Linked DNA regions of Anolis sagrei. The protein of the gene in region 2 interacts with the protein of the main gene of each other region in a biochemical or structural test. Links are inferred from orthologs where the notes say so. Each region holds a gene or a part of one and is shown on either strand. Other genes may lie near its edges.

Evidence for each region. The genes of interacting proteins can lie anywhere in the genome.
Region 1: of the proteins of RAP1A (region 2) and RAPGEF5, one has a biochemical effect on the other in vitro, tested with the Homo sapiens proteins (2 studies listed by BioGRID). The link is inferred for Anolis sagrei from reciprocal best matches to the Homo sapiens genes RAP1A and RAPGEF5.

What each region holds. Positions count from the first base shown.
Region 1 is NC_090026.1:93,381,410-93,388,719, forward strand, and holds the start of RAPGEF5 (rap guanine nucleotide exchange factor 5), read left to right. Parts: upstream 1-4,274; 5' UTR 4,275-4,510; coding exon 4,511-4,675; intron 4,676-7,310. UniProt on the Homo sapiens protein: Guanine nucleotide exchange factor (GEF) for RAP1A, RAP2A and MRAS/M-Ras-GTP. Its association with MRAS inhibits Rap1 activation.
Region 2 is NC_090024.1:199,234,175-199,241,819, reverse strand, and holds the start of RAP1A (ras-related protein Rap-1A), read right to left. Parts: upstream 3,004-7,645; 5' UTR 2,708-3,003; intron 1-2,707. UniProt on the Homo sapiens protein: Counteracts the mitogenic function of Ras, at least partly because it can interact with Ras GAPs and RAF in a competitive manner. Together with ITGB1BP1, regulates KRIT1 localization to microtubules and membranes.

The DNA.
Region 1 (7,310 bases), on a different chromosome or scaffold from region 2:
CAACTAATAAGCCAAATCCAAGCTCATAGATGTGAAATAAACGAAGATGCCGCCTTTGTCCATGAATGTGGATAGAAGAACAGATCTTTTCTTCTTTTGTTTAGCAAAACAGGAGCACCAATTCCATTGGAATTTTGAAAAGATAGTTTTGCGAGGGTTCAAATCCCCACTCAGCAGTGATAAGATCTCTTAGGTGACTTATAGCACATTAGACAATTTTAGGGCAAGTACGGGTGGGGAGCCCCTAGCTTACAGAGCTATTTTGAGGCCTGCCAATTAACAAGACTGCTAGAATTAGAAGCCCATTGCTTATAACACAAGCTGGGCAATTCTTTTTTCCTGCCTAGAATTGTCTTTATTTTTAACGCTTCTTTTGCTCAACAACAATACAAAAACCCAATGTTGGCTTGAAGCTTCTGTATCTCAGAGACAAAAGTGGGGTAGTACAATTACTTCTAATAATAATTCTGAGAACTCCCAAAATTATAATTTGTGAAATTGGAATGACTAGAATACAAGCTGGGAAGTCTTTCTTTCAGGCCAGAAATGTCTTTATTTTTAATCGCCTCTGTTTGAAAAACAAACAGCCGAAAGCCAAAGCTTGCCCAAGTGCAAAGCTCTGGTCACATTTCTCCTCTGGAAGTGTCAAGAAAGAAAGTGTGAGCAAAAGAAGTGTTTTTTAAAAAGACATTTATATCTAGAAAAAAAATCCCCAGCTTGTATTCTAAGCATTTCAATTTAATATAACAGTACCGTGCAGCTGTGGACAAGTCTACATAGGGACCACCAAACTCAGCACCCAGACATGACGCAAAGAACATGAAAGCCACGGCAGACATGAAAGCTACAGCAGATGAACCGGCCTAGACACAGAATATTATTTCAGAACACAGAAATTCTGGACCACTCTGACAACCACTATTTCAGACTACACAGAGAAGCCATTGAAATCCACAAGCACACAGACAATTTCAACATAAAGGAAGAAACTATGAAAATGAATACTGGTTACGAGTATTAAAACACACCAGAATCAAGACAGTAAATAATGAACACCATTCAGAAACAGAAGAACTCCAGACAGCAAGCAATCAAGGGTCAGTTAACACCTCCCCAACAGAGGATGCCTCCAGGCAAGAGTCCAGGCTACCTCTATACAGATACCCTCACTGACTTACTTTGCACATTTATGGCTACTCAATGCTATTTAAGCTTGCCAAGTGCAACATTCACACTTTCTCTAATCCAGAGTTCCCCAGACTCTGCTCCTCCAGGTGTTTTGGACTTCAGCTCCCACAATTCCTAACATCTGGTAAGCTGGCTGGGATTTCTGTTAGCTGAAGTTCAAAACACCTGGAGAAGCACAGTTTGAGAAACAGGGAAGTCTTGCTACCCCTCTATTCTGCCTTAGTCAGACCACACCTGGAATATTGTGTCTAATTCTGGGCACCACAACTGAAGGTCAATGTTGACAAGCTGGAATGTGTCCAGAGGAGGGCAACTCAAATGATCAAGGGTCGGAAGAACAAGCCCTATGAGGAGTGGCTTAAAGAGCTGGGCATGTTTAGCTTGAGAAAGAGAACGCAGAGGAGACATGATGGCCGTTTATAATTATGTGAGAGGAAGTCATAGGGGGGAGGGAGCAAGTTTGTTTACTGCTGCCCTGGAGACCAGGACACAGAACAATGGCTTCAAAGTACAAGAAAGGAGATTCCATCTGAACATTTGGAAGAATTTCCTGACTGTGAGAACTGTTCAGCAGTGGAACTCTGTGCCCCAGAGTATGGTGGAGGCTTCTTCTTTGGGGGCTTTTAAACAGAGGCTGGGTGGCTATCTGTCGGGGGTGCTTTGAATGAGATTTTCCTGCTTCTTGGCAGGGGGTTGGACTGGATGGCCCACGACGTATGTTCCAGCTCTACGATTCTATAATGCTCCACCTTTGTAACTACTCAACAGATGGCAGTACTGGTATGCAACAGGTTTTGGCTTGTTCAGTAGACTCTCCTCTACAGTTCCATTTTGGTAGGAAGCCTTAGCATTGAACGGTTGTGTTGTTAAAGTGCAAAGTATGAAACCCTGCGCAGACAGTCAGTCAATGTGACTTAAGCAATGCGCAGTCATTGAATTCTTGACAGCAGTAGGTGTCACCCCAAAGGAGATTCATCAGAGAATGCAAGCTGTTTATGGTGATTGTGTTGATGTGAGAACAGTGCGTCGTTGGGTGAGAAAGTTTAAAGATGTAGAGGTGGAAACATCTGACTTGCATGACAAACAAAGAGTTGGACATCGTGTGACAGCAATCACCGAGTTTCACAAGCAAAAGGTTGACAAATTGATTCGGGATGATTGTCGTATCACTCAGAGAGAAATTTCAAGCATAATCGGCATTTTGCAAGAACGTGGGGCTCACATTATTGCTTTGCTTGGCTATTGGAAGATCTGTGCATGATGGGTACTCAGGATGAGAGAACTGTGAGACACTGGTTGAGGAAACAGACTGTCGACTGTGTTGTTGTTGGTTTTTCGGGCTATATGGCCATGATCTAGAGGCATTTTTTCAGGCTATATAGCCATATTCTAAAGAAGACTATCGACTTCTTCCATGATGGCTTCAGAAAACTAGTTCATCGTTAGCAGAAATGTATCCAATTGTCTTGTGATTATGTGGAAAAGTGAATAGTGGTAGTTAAAGAGCACATTCTAAGAATTAGTTCTGTGTTTGGGTTGTTGTAGGTTTTTTCGGGCTATATGGCCATGTTCTAAAGGGTAAAGGCATTTTCTCCTGACGTTTCGCCTGCATCTATAGCAAGCATCCTCAGAGGTAGTGAGGATGCTTGCCATAGATCAGCATTTCTCAGTCTGGGGGGGGGACCCCTTGGGGGGTCGTGAGGGGGTTTCAGAGGGGTCACCAAAGACCATCAGAAAATACAGTACTTTCTGTTAGTCATGGGAGTTTTGTATGGGAAGTTTGGCCCAGTTCTATTGTTGGTGGGGTTCAGAATGCTCATTGATTGTAGGTGAACTATAAATTCCAGCAACTACAGCTCCCAAATGTCAAGTCTATTTTCCCCAAACTCCAGCAGTGTTCACATTTGGGCATATTGAGTATTTGTGCCAGGTTTGATCCAGATCATCATTGTTTGAGTCCACAATGCTCTCTGGAAGTAGGTTAATTACAACTCAAGGTCAACGCACACCAAACCCTTCCAGTATTTTCTGTTGGTCATGGGAGTTCTGTGTACCAAGTTTGGTCCAATTCCATCGTTGGTGGAGTTCAGGTTAACTATAAATCCCAGAAACTATAACTCAATCTCATCCCCACCGCGACAGTACTCAAATTTGGGGTATTTGTGCCAAATTTGGTCCAGCGAATGAAAATATATCCTTCATATCAGATATTTACATTATGATTCATAACAGCAGCAAAATTACAGTTATGAAGTAGCAACAAAAATAATTTTATGGTTGGGTGTCACCACAACATGAGGAACTGTATTAAGGGGTCACGCATTAGGAAGGTTGAGAACTACTGCCATAGATGCAGGCAAAACGTCAGGAGAAAATGCCTTTAGAACATGGCCATATATCCCGAAAAAACCTACAGCAACCCAGTGATTCCGGCCATGAAAGCCTTCGACAAGTTCTGTATTTGATTTATTAAAATATTCCCATTCAAGCCCAAGTAACGAAGGTGGAGGCATTACTTTTAATTCAACCCTATATAAATGTTTCAAATAAATAAATTTCTCTTAATCCCTCCTTACTATCCAACATTTTTGCTTATCCAACGTTCTGGTTATGTTGGATAAGCGAGACTCTGCTGTATTATGATTCTGAGAACTCCTTCAAATTATCAGTTGCAACATTGCAAGGCCTAGAATGCAAGAGGGGGGAATCCTCTTTCTGGAGACTCCTGTCTTTTAAGAATTCTAGTGGTGAGCAGAGCTTCTCACCTGGGCAGGCTTTGGCTTTGTTTGTTTTGCAAGCAGAGGAACTGAGAGAGAAAGTCAACAGCGCATGGAGGCGGGGAGGGAAGCAGGCGGGAGCCTTTTAAGCAAACGGAGGCTGCCTTCAGAAGTTCACCTTGCTATTATCTGGACCCCCTTCCCGCTCCTGAGGCAGGCTTGGCGCGCCATTCTGGCCATTGCGGCCTTTCTCTCCTGAGGGAGAAGGCCAAGGTAGGGCGCACCTGTGGGAGGGCCGCCTCCTTCTCTCTCCGCGTGGCGTGGAAGGGGAAGGAGGCCTTTTTTCCCTCCCCGGCCCCTCCTCCCCGCGCAATTCCAACTCCGCGGGCCCCTCCCCTCCCTGCTTCCCTCAGGCCGAGGCGCAGAGGAAGGGAAGGTGGACGGCAGGAGAGGTGGGCCCTTCCCTTGCCACTGCAGCAGGAGGAGGGAAAGGCAAGGAAAGGAAAGGTGGCGGGGTGCTCCTGTGAGGAGGAAGAGGGGGCTGCAAGGGAAGGAGGAGGAGGAGAAGGGATGCCGCCTTCCCTCCGGGTTGCTCCTCCGTTAAGATGCAGCCCGCGCTCCTCGGTCAGAGCCACGCCGGAGCCCGAGACCACGAACAACAACAGCAGCAGCAGCAGCAAGTGCAGCTGCGGCAAAAGCTGAGGGAATTGCCGGCGCTGCTCCGGAGTGGGCTCACGCTGCGGAGGAAAAACTCCACCGGCGGAGGACGGGTGAGTGAGTGAGTGAGTGAGTGAGTGGGAGGGAGAGATGGAAGGAGCGAGGGAGGGAAGGGGCGCCTCTTGGGCCCCTGCCTCTTGGGCCCCTGCCTCTTAGACCCGGCTCCGAAGGCGTATTGCGCAGCCAAGACCTCCCGCCTTCCCAGCCAGGCCCAAAAAGGGGTTTTGCAGCCGGAGGGAGGGAAGGAAGAGAGGGTTGGGTCTTCTGCTCAGCACCAGCAGGCAGGATGCGGGAATAGGAACCGGAGGGATGGAAGCATCTCAGGCTCGATCTCACTGCCACACCATACAGGTGAACGCCATTGACCTGGGCTCTATGACTACACCAGGTGTGAGCAAACTTGGGCCCTCCAGGTGCTTTGAACTTCAACTCCCACCATTCCTAACAGCCTCAGGCTGGATCTCCACTGCCACACCATGCAGGTGAACGGCGTTACTTGGGCCTTCCAATAACTGAGTAATTGGAACTGGGTTCCAATAGAACTGGGTTCTATGACTCTCCACCAGGTGTGAACAAACTTGGGCCCTCCAGGTGCTTTGGACTTCAACTCCCACCATTCCTTACAGCCTCAGGCTGGAGCTCCACTGCCACACCATGCAGGTGAATGGCATTAAACAGGGTTCTATGATGACACCAGGTATGAGCAAACTTGGGCCTTCCAGAAACCCATAGAACTGGGTTCTATGACTCTACACCAGGTGTGAGCAAACTTGGGCCCTCCAGGTGCTTTGGATTTCAACTCCCATCATTCCTAACAGCCTCAGGCTGGATCCCCACTGCTACACCATATAGGTGAACAGCATTGAGCTGGGGTCTATGACTATACCAGGTATGAGTACACTTTGGCCCTCTGGGTGTTTTGGATTTCAACTCCCACCATTCCTTACAGCCTCAGTCTGGATCTCCACTGCCACACCATGCAGGTGAACAACATTGATCTGGGTTCTATTACTACACCAGGAGTGAGCAAACTTGGGCCCTCCAGGTGTTTTGGACTTCAACTCCCACCATTCCTAACAGCCACGGGCTGGATCTCCACTGCCACACCATGCAGGTGGATGGCATTGAGCTTGGTTCTGTGACTACACCAGGCATGGGAAAACTTGGGCCCTCTGGGTGTTTTGGACTTCAAATCCTATCATTCCTAACAGCCCCAGACTGGATCTCCACTGCCACACCATGCAGGTGGATGGTATTGAACTGGGTTCTATGACTACATCAGGTGTAAGCAAACACGGCCCCTTTATTTATTATTTATTTATTTATTTATTTATTATTTGCACTTGTTAACCGCCACTCTCAAGCCCGAAGGCGACTCGTGGCGGTGTACAGAACATAGAACACAAAGGACAACAGGTTACAATAAATCAGGACCACAACACACATCTTACTAATACACAGCTACTTAACTAAAAATCCGCTTCGTCTTGTTTAGGGTCATAATCAATCTCGTAGTCATGGTCCATTCCGGTGGTCATTCCAAAAACATAGCACTTAGTTGAAGGCCTTCTCAAAGAGCCAGGTTTTCAGGCCCTTGCGGAAGGCCATGAGGGAAGGTGCCTGTCTGATTTCAGCAGGGAGGGAGTTCCACAGCCGGGGGGCCACCACCGAGAAGGCCCGCTCTCTTGTCCCCGCCAGGCGTGCCTGTGAGGCAGGCGGGACCGAGAGAAGGGCCTCCCCAGATGATCTTAAGGTCCTCGTGGGCTCGTAGGCCGAGATGCGGTTCTCAAGGTATTTTGGGCCGGAACCGTTTAGGGCTTTGTAGGATAACACCAGCACCTTAAATTGGGCCCGGTAGCTAATTGGCAGCCAGTGGAGCTGGGACAGCAAGGGCGTTGTGTGCTCCCTGCGTCCCGCTCCGGTTAACAACATGGCTGCCGCACGCTGGACTAGCTGGAGCTTCCGGGCCGTCTTCAAGGGCAGCCCCACGTAGAGAGCATTGCAGTAGTCGAGGCGGGATGTGACCAAAGCGTGTACCACCATGGCCAAGTCAGACTTCCCAAGATACGGGCGCAGCTGGCGCACGAGCCGAAGCTGTGCAAATGCTCCCCTGGTCACCGCCGAAACCTGGGGATCCAGGCTCAGTGATGAGTCCAGGGTCACACCCAAGCTGCGAACCTGTGCCTTCAAGGGGAGTGCGACCCCGACCAGCACGGGCTGTAACCCTATACCCTGTTCGGCCTTGCGACTGACCAGGAGTACCTCTGTCTTGTCTGGATTTAATTTCAGTTTGTTCGCCCTCATCCAGACCGTCACAGCGGCCAGGCACCGGTTCAGGACTTCGACAGCCTCCTTAGTAGCAGGTGGAAAGGAGTGACAGAGTTGGACGTCATCTGCGTACAGATGACACCGCACCCCGAAACTCCGGATGATCTCACCCAGTGGCTTCATGTAGATGTTAAACAGCATGGGGGACAGTATGGAGCCCTGAGGAACACCACAGGTCAACGGCTGTGGCGTTGAACAGGAGTCCCCCAGTAACACCTTCTGGGTACGACCCTCCAGAAATGACTGGAGCCACCGCAAAGCCCCATCTCTGCAAGGCGTCCCAGAAGAATACCGTGGTCGACGGTATCGAAGGCCGCTGAGAGGTCCAGGAGCACCAACAGGGACACACTCCCCCTGTCT
Region 2 (7,645 bases):
CTAGGAAACTCCTGTATTTAAAGATCAAACTGTAAAGACTCTGGCACAAGCCAGTAAAGGTGGTCCCAGTGGTGATCAGCACACTGGGTGCAGTGCCTAAAGACCTTGGCCTGCACTGAAAAACAATCAGCGCTGACAAAATTACCATCTATCAGCTACAAAAGGCCACCCTACTCGGATCTGCACGCATTATTTGCAGATACATCATACAATCCTAGACACTTGGAAAGTGTGCGACATGTGATCGAATACAAAAGTCAGCATAGTGATCTTGTTTGCTGTGTACTAATCTTGTTGTATATCAAAAAATAATAATATCATCCATCAACTTAAGCTACAACTTCCAACAGATCCAAGTTAGCAAGAAGTCAAACAGTTTGTGGGCCCTTCCAGACAGACCCTATATCCCAGGAACTGATCCCATGTTTTCTGCTTTAAACTGGATTATGGGTCTGCACTGCCAAATAATCTATCATAAACAAAATCAGGTCCTGGGATATAGGGCCTGTCAGGAAGGGCCCTGTGCTGCACTACGCCCATTAGAAGCTAAAAGCCCAGCCATGCTAAATCCTTTAAAGCTGTGACTCCCAGTCCTTCGGGTGTTTTGGACTTTTATCTGCTCTGGAGTTGGAATTCAAAACACCTGGAAGACCAGAGTTGGGAACACACTGATAGAGGCCCCTTCCACACAGCTGAATAAAATCCAACATTATCAGCTTTGAACTGGTATATATGGCAGTGTGGACTCAGGTATCCCAGTTCAAAGCAGATATTGTGGGACTTTCTGCCTTGACATTCTGGGTTATAGGGCTGTGTGGAAGGGCCCCTAGATTAACCGTCCCTAGAATCCCACACTGGGCATGGAGGAAAGGCAACACTGGAAAACCAACGTTTGCTAAACACTGATATTGATCAACTGGGGGCCTTCTGCAAAAAAAAAATAATTAAAAAATCCCACAATATATGTGCTTTGAACTGGGTTATCTGAATAAAATCCTACATTATCAGCTTTGAACTGTAATATGTGTCAGTGTGGACTCAAATAACCCAGTTCAAAACAAATATTGTGGGATTTCCTGCCTTGATATTCTAGATATAGGGCTGTGTGGAAGGGCCCAAAGTCCACACTCAGATAATATGGGATTTCCTGCCTTGATATTCTGGGATATAGGGCTGTATGAAAGGGTCTTGAGTCCACACTGCCATATATTCCAATATCAAAGCAGATAATGTGGGCTTTTATTCAGCTGTGTGGAAGGTGCCTATGTTGCTGAGAGTTTTCTGGGCTGCATAGCCATGTTCCAGAAGCATTCTCTCTTGATGCCTGCCATAGATGCAGGTGAAACGTCAGAAGAGATTGCTTCTGGAACATGGCCATAAAGACAGGAAAACTCACAGCAAACCAGTGATTCTGGCCATGAAAGCCTTCGACAACACATAGATCTCCAGAATATCCTTCTGAGGGCCCTTTCACACAGCCCTTTATCCCAGAATATCAAGTCAGAAAATCCCACAATATCTGCTTTTGAATTGGGGGTCCTTCCACAAAGCCCTTTACCCCAGAATATCAAAGCAGAAAATCCCACAATACCTGCTTTGAGTTGGGTTACCTGAGTCCACACTGCCATATATCCCAGTTCAAAGCAGATAATGTGGGATTCTATTCAGCTATGTGGAAGGGCCCTGATAACTCAGATAACATGGGATTTCCTGCCTTGATATTCTGGGATAGAGGGCTGTGTGGAAGGGCCCTGAGCATGCATGGACAGCAAATAAAGAGAAAATAAAAAAGAAAGCAACACACACACACACAAAGGACTTCAACTCCCAGAAGTCCCTGCTGCTTTGGCCAACGACCAAGGATTCTGGGAGTTGAAGTTCCCCAAAACTGGGAAGCAGCAGAGTTAGTCTTCGAGGAGGAGCCCATCCCTTCCACCTTTGGCGCAGGGTTGGAAAACACTCCAGCAGTGAGTGGCTGGCTCCCCTTTGGCCACTCCCAAGGGTTTCAGAAAAGGTCCTACTTCCCGTCCAGCCTGGGAGAGAAGTCCACCAACACAAAAGGCAATCCGGGAGAGAGGAAGAGAGGAGGAAACCGAGGGAGAAAACGTGGCTTTTCTGTGCGCGGTGCCAGATCCCAAGAAAGGCACTCTCTTAAGAATGGGAGCGTGGCTTCTCCTTGGGAAGGGAGGCTGGAGGCCAGATCTGGCTCAAGAGCCACAATTGCAACACAGACACACAGCTGACTCTTTGGTGGGCACTCCTTCTTGGCAGGGAAGCAGGCGGGTGGGCTGTCAGCGCGTCTCCCTTGCCGAGTCCTCCTTTTTTTCCCTGGCTGCCTCCGGCTATTTTACGCACACGCAGCCAGGGGAAAAAAGGAGGACTCGGCAAGGGAGACGCGCTGACAGCCCGCTTGGAGCCAAGCCAGAGAAGTGTCTGCGGGTGTCTCTGACCCACAGATGCATACAGATGCCCCCCCCCCCAACGGGACCATTCCCCCTCCTTCCCTCCTTTTCCCTTCGGAGACGCGCCTTCCTCCTCCTTTTCCTTCTCCTCCCAGTTTTTGCGCACGGGAAAGAGAGCCACCCGCGCCCTCTTCAGCCGGGCTAGGAGCCAAAAAGGGAAGCAAGCGGGCCCCTCGGCCTGGCAGGCGGAGAAAGAAGCGCTGGGCCCGGCAGGAGAGACGGATTCGCCCCCTTTTTTGGCTCACCCCGTTGCTGCTGATCGCCGGGAGCCAGCGCGCAGCCTCTTCCTCTCTGTGTGCGTCTGTGTCTCCAGTTGGTTGGCTTTCTCCAAGCGCCTGGGTTGCTCTCGCTTTTCTCTCCGGCTCTTCGGCGCCTTGCCTTTGCGGGAAGCTCAGCCGAGGGAGGACGCGTCAGTGGCTGCTTCTCCTCCTCCTCCTCCCTCCTTTCGGCCCCCCTTTTCCTGCCTGCGATCGGGGAAAGAGGAGGAGGAGGAGGAGCCGGCAAAAGGAGGAGCGAGGGCGCGCAAAGGCGGGCCAGCAAAGAGTTGGAGAGCAAGAGGAAGGAAGCAAGCGAGCGAGCAAGCGGGGCGGGGGTTGGCCCAGCCTTGGCTTCGCTTCCAACGCTGAGCCTGCCCCTTTCCACTGCTTGTGGGGAAGAACTGTCCCTTTCCACTGCCCTCTTTGCGTCTCCTTTCGTGGCTGGAAACTAGGGACAAACGTCCTCACCGGACAGAGCTGCCTTTCCTTCTGCGTATTGCAGCACTACTCCTTTGTCGGCTTGGCTTTGCTCCTTTTTCAGCTGCGGCAGGACTAATCTCCCAAGGCTGTGGTCATTCCACCTCCCAGAATGGATTTCTGGATTCCTGCACCTTGGAACAGCCGGAAAGAACCACTGGGATTTAATGCTGAGTCTTCTTCATCGCCTCTGAGCATAGGAAGAGTGTGTTTTTTCTTCCTCTTCTCTCTCCACGCAGCAGGGAAAAAGTTAGGAGGCGGGGCTCCAAGGGATGGACTGCAGTCACTTGCAGAATAATAAGAGACCCATCCAGGGCCATAGCGGGGGGGGGGGGGGGGGGGTAAAATTCAACCCTACCCTGAAATGTGCCATGTTATTATTTATTTATTTATTTCATAGATTTATATCCCGCAGACTCCAGCCAGAAAATCAGGAGACAGACTTGTAGCCGGGGGGGGGGGGGGTGAGAGGCTTCAGCCCCCCCCCCCCCCGAAATTCTCATGGTGGTTCGCGAAAAGGCCTTACTGGTGCATTATTTAAACTGTTATGTTTATTCATATCATGATCTGATCACCATACTCAATATATCCCATATGCACGGGGGTATTGGGGTAACGATACAAAAGGTTTGCTGGGGTAGACCCTCTTTCACTCAGACTCACCCCCCCCCCCCCCCAATCGAAATCCTGGCTACCGGCCTGTCAGGAGACACTTACTTCTTGGGAGGAGAGCCATGACCAATCTTGATAAAATAGTGAAGAGTAGAGACATCACACTGGCATAGTTAAAGCAATGGTATTCCCCATAGTCACCTATGGATGTGAGAGCTGGACCATAGGGAAGGCTGAGCGAAGGAAGATAGATGTTTTTGAACAGTGGTGTTGGAGGAAAGTGCTGAGAGTGCCTTGGACACCGAGAAGATCCAATCAGTCCATACTTCAAGAAATAAAGCCTGACTGCTCATTGGAGGGAAGGATACTAGAGGCCAAGATGAAGTACTTTGGCCACATAATGAGAAGAAAGGAAAGCTTAGAGAAGACAATGATGCTGGGGAAAATGGAAGGAAAAAGGAAAAGGGGCCGACCAAGGGCAAGATGGATGGATGGTATCCTTGAAGTGACTGGATTGACCTTGAAGGAGCTGGGGGTGGTGACGACGGACAAGGAGCTCTGGCATGGGCTGGTTCATGAAGTCACAAAGAGTCAGAAACGAATGAACAACAACAATACCCCTCCTTTCTCACCCCCGTTGCAGGGGGGCCTGGGGGGCTCAGAGCAGTCTCACAACAAGCACCATACAGTGCCATCACCATCATAAAACATTTCAATAAATACATTAAAACAGTTAATTAAAAACAATTGATTAGACATGCCATTTAAAAACCAAATCCAAATCTGGGTCAATTCATTGTCCTGGGTTGCCTGAGTCTTCTTTCCACTTGTTGCTAGTCGAAGTTTCCTTCTGAAAGACAGGAGGGAGGTGGCCAGTATGATGTCCCTGGGAAGGGAGTTCCACAGACGGGGAGCCACTGTCTCTCGTCCCCACCAATCGCGTTTGCGTTGGTGGTGGGATTGAGAGCAGGGCCTCTCCAGATGACCTTAGACTTCGCGATGGTTCATAACAGGAGATACATTCGGACAGGTAATCAGGGTCAGAACTGTTTAGATCTTTAAAGGTTACAAAAGAAACCTGGTTTACTCATAACTTGGTTAACCATTTAAAATTCTTGAGTAAACCAGGTTTCGGGGAGGGGTGTGTGTTAGAACCCTTTTGCGAAATTAGAACTCTTACCCCACCCCCACCCCAGTTACGACCCTGGACTCATCACACTAGAGCAGGAATGGGCAAACTAAAGGCTGAGGGCTGGATACGGCTCCCTGGGCACCCACTTCAGGCCCTCATTTTCCTTATCCTCTCAGTATAAGGACATGGTGGCCTGCTGTATCCTTATGCAGAAAGGACAGGGGAGGAAGGCATGCAGCAACTGAGATCCCTCTGGAGTGCTCTCAGCCACAGCATGTCCTGCCCTCCTGGCATAAGGACAGTGTGAGTGGTCCCATCCTTATGCTGAGAGGATGGCCCGAGGAAGGCATGTAGCAGCTAAGAGACCTCCAGAATGCTCCGGAGGACAGCCCGAAGATCAGGAAGGAGTATCGGAGCAGTTGCCACCTGTTTTTTTCCTCCCGGCACAAGGATGAGATGAGCATCCTTATGGCACAAGGGGCAAGCATCCCTATGCCAAGAGGACAACCTTAGGTTGACCCAGGCCCTGCCCCGGCCCCACCCTCTTACAGGCCCTCTCCCTCCCAGCCTGGCCATCTTGGTTGAGCCCATAATACAGCCCCAAAGCAAAAATGTTTTCCCATGCCTGCACTACAGCATGAATCCACTTTAAATCTGGTTTCTGCCTCCTGCAGAATTCTGGGGTTTGTAGTTTAAGGGGGAGCTTTTAACAGTCCCACTCAACTACAAACCCCAGAATTCTGCAGGAGGCAGAAACCAGATTTAAAGTGGATTGGTTCTCTAGTGCGATGAGGTCCTCCATGAGAATCAATAAGTAAAGATTTCCTCTTGACATCACATACCTGTGGTTACCAGCATATGCACTGCCATTTCCAGATCCTAGGTGGAGGATCTGGAAATGGTTTAGTGTTAACTGGGAAATTCTAGTCATGAAACTTGCATAGTGACTTGGACCAGTTGATTTCAGCCTGCTCTCCCTTCCAGGATCACTATTGTGAAAATAAAAAGTGGGGAAGAGAGCGATATATATACATTTCTTTTGATTTACTGGAGAAAACATGGGGTATAAATATAACTGTATAGCTATTGTGTAAGATAATACACAATAGACATATATATTCTAAAAATCAAAAGTCAGGCATAGTTCGGTTTAGTGCTGGACATAAGGCACAGAATGACAAAAAAAGACATCACTCAGACCTCTCTAAACCCTATTTTTAAGCTCTTAGTAGAATTTGTGCAGGAAATAGGTAGGATTCCAAAGAGGATCTTCATCTTAAAGAAGTATTAAAATGCTCTCTCAGAACTCCTGCAAATGTCTTGGTAAATATCCCTGACCATTTCTAGAGCTTACTGTCATTTCAGGATTTTTAAATGCCTGGTTTTAAGTGTGTGTACATGGTATCCTTTTGCTTTGTTTTTGAAGTAAAGACCACAGCAAGCAATGAAGATGGCATAAGTAGCATAGGAATAACAATCTACACTAAAATAAGAGAGCAAACAGAACTCCACTCCCTCCTTATCAGAACAAAAAGTGTGTTATTGACTGTTAACAGCACAGAATGAAGGATGACTGCTGCCATGTATAAGGAAACAGATGACACAAATAATACTTGCAATCTTGTTGATGCAAGGGAGGACAATATTGGATATTTTACAGTTGTGCTTAGAGTAGACCCACAAAAATCAATGGAACAAGTCAGACACGGTGAACCTATGTCCCAACAATTTAAATGAGGGCCCTTTCATGCAGCCCTATATCAAGAATACCAAGGCAGAAAATCCCACATTATCTGCGTGTGGACTCAGATAACCTAGTTCAAAGCAGATATTGTGGGATTTACTGCCTTGATATTCTGGGATATAGAGCTGGGTGGAAGGGCCCCCAGTTTGTGTTAGAGCTTTTTGGACTGCAACTTCCACAATGTCTCATTTAGTATGTCACCTTAAATGTTAACCACATATTGGGGTTGTTTAGTCTTTGGGGCCCTTGATTATAATTCACCATTAAGTCTATGTTCCTTTTGGGATGGATTTCGTCTTCGTCATACACTATATTCCCCCTCCTTGTCTCATGTATTTGTGGTGTTCTCATGTCAAACTTTTATTAGTACATTAATAAAATCAGTTGAAGATGTATTCAGCAGTAGATCATAAATGACCATAAAGTTATTCAAATGCTGCAGCAAGATTGTAAAAATGGCTTGAAGATGGAAAAAGAGACTGCAGTTCTTTGGAAGCCTTGAATAATAAAATTGCTTTTAAAAACAGATGTGAAAGTGTCTTTCTGGCTAACACCATACAGATCAAGGAAGAAAGTGTGAATAGATAATATATAATTAGATCTGCTCTTCAGTTGCAGGTTTATTTTTCTTTTTTTTCCCCTTTTCAAGGCTGCCTCCAAGGGCCCTTCCACATAGCCCTATATCCCAGAATATCAAGGCAGAAAATCCCACAATATCTGCTTTGAATTGGGTTATCTGAGTCCACGCTGCCATATATTCCAGTTCAAAACAGATAGTATGGGATTTTATTCAGCTGTGTGGAAGGGGCCCCAGTTTCAGTTAGCCTTCCTGTCCACAGCCCCATCCAACTACTCCAAAGTAAAGGTTTCTCGATTGGGCTCTCTGTCCCCTTTCTCTTGCCAACGGTAAGGGAAAACAGTAGTGCTGTGGTCAATATTAGATTACTGCATGGCACAATTC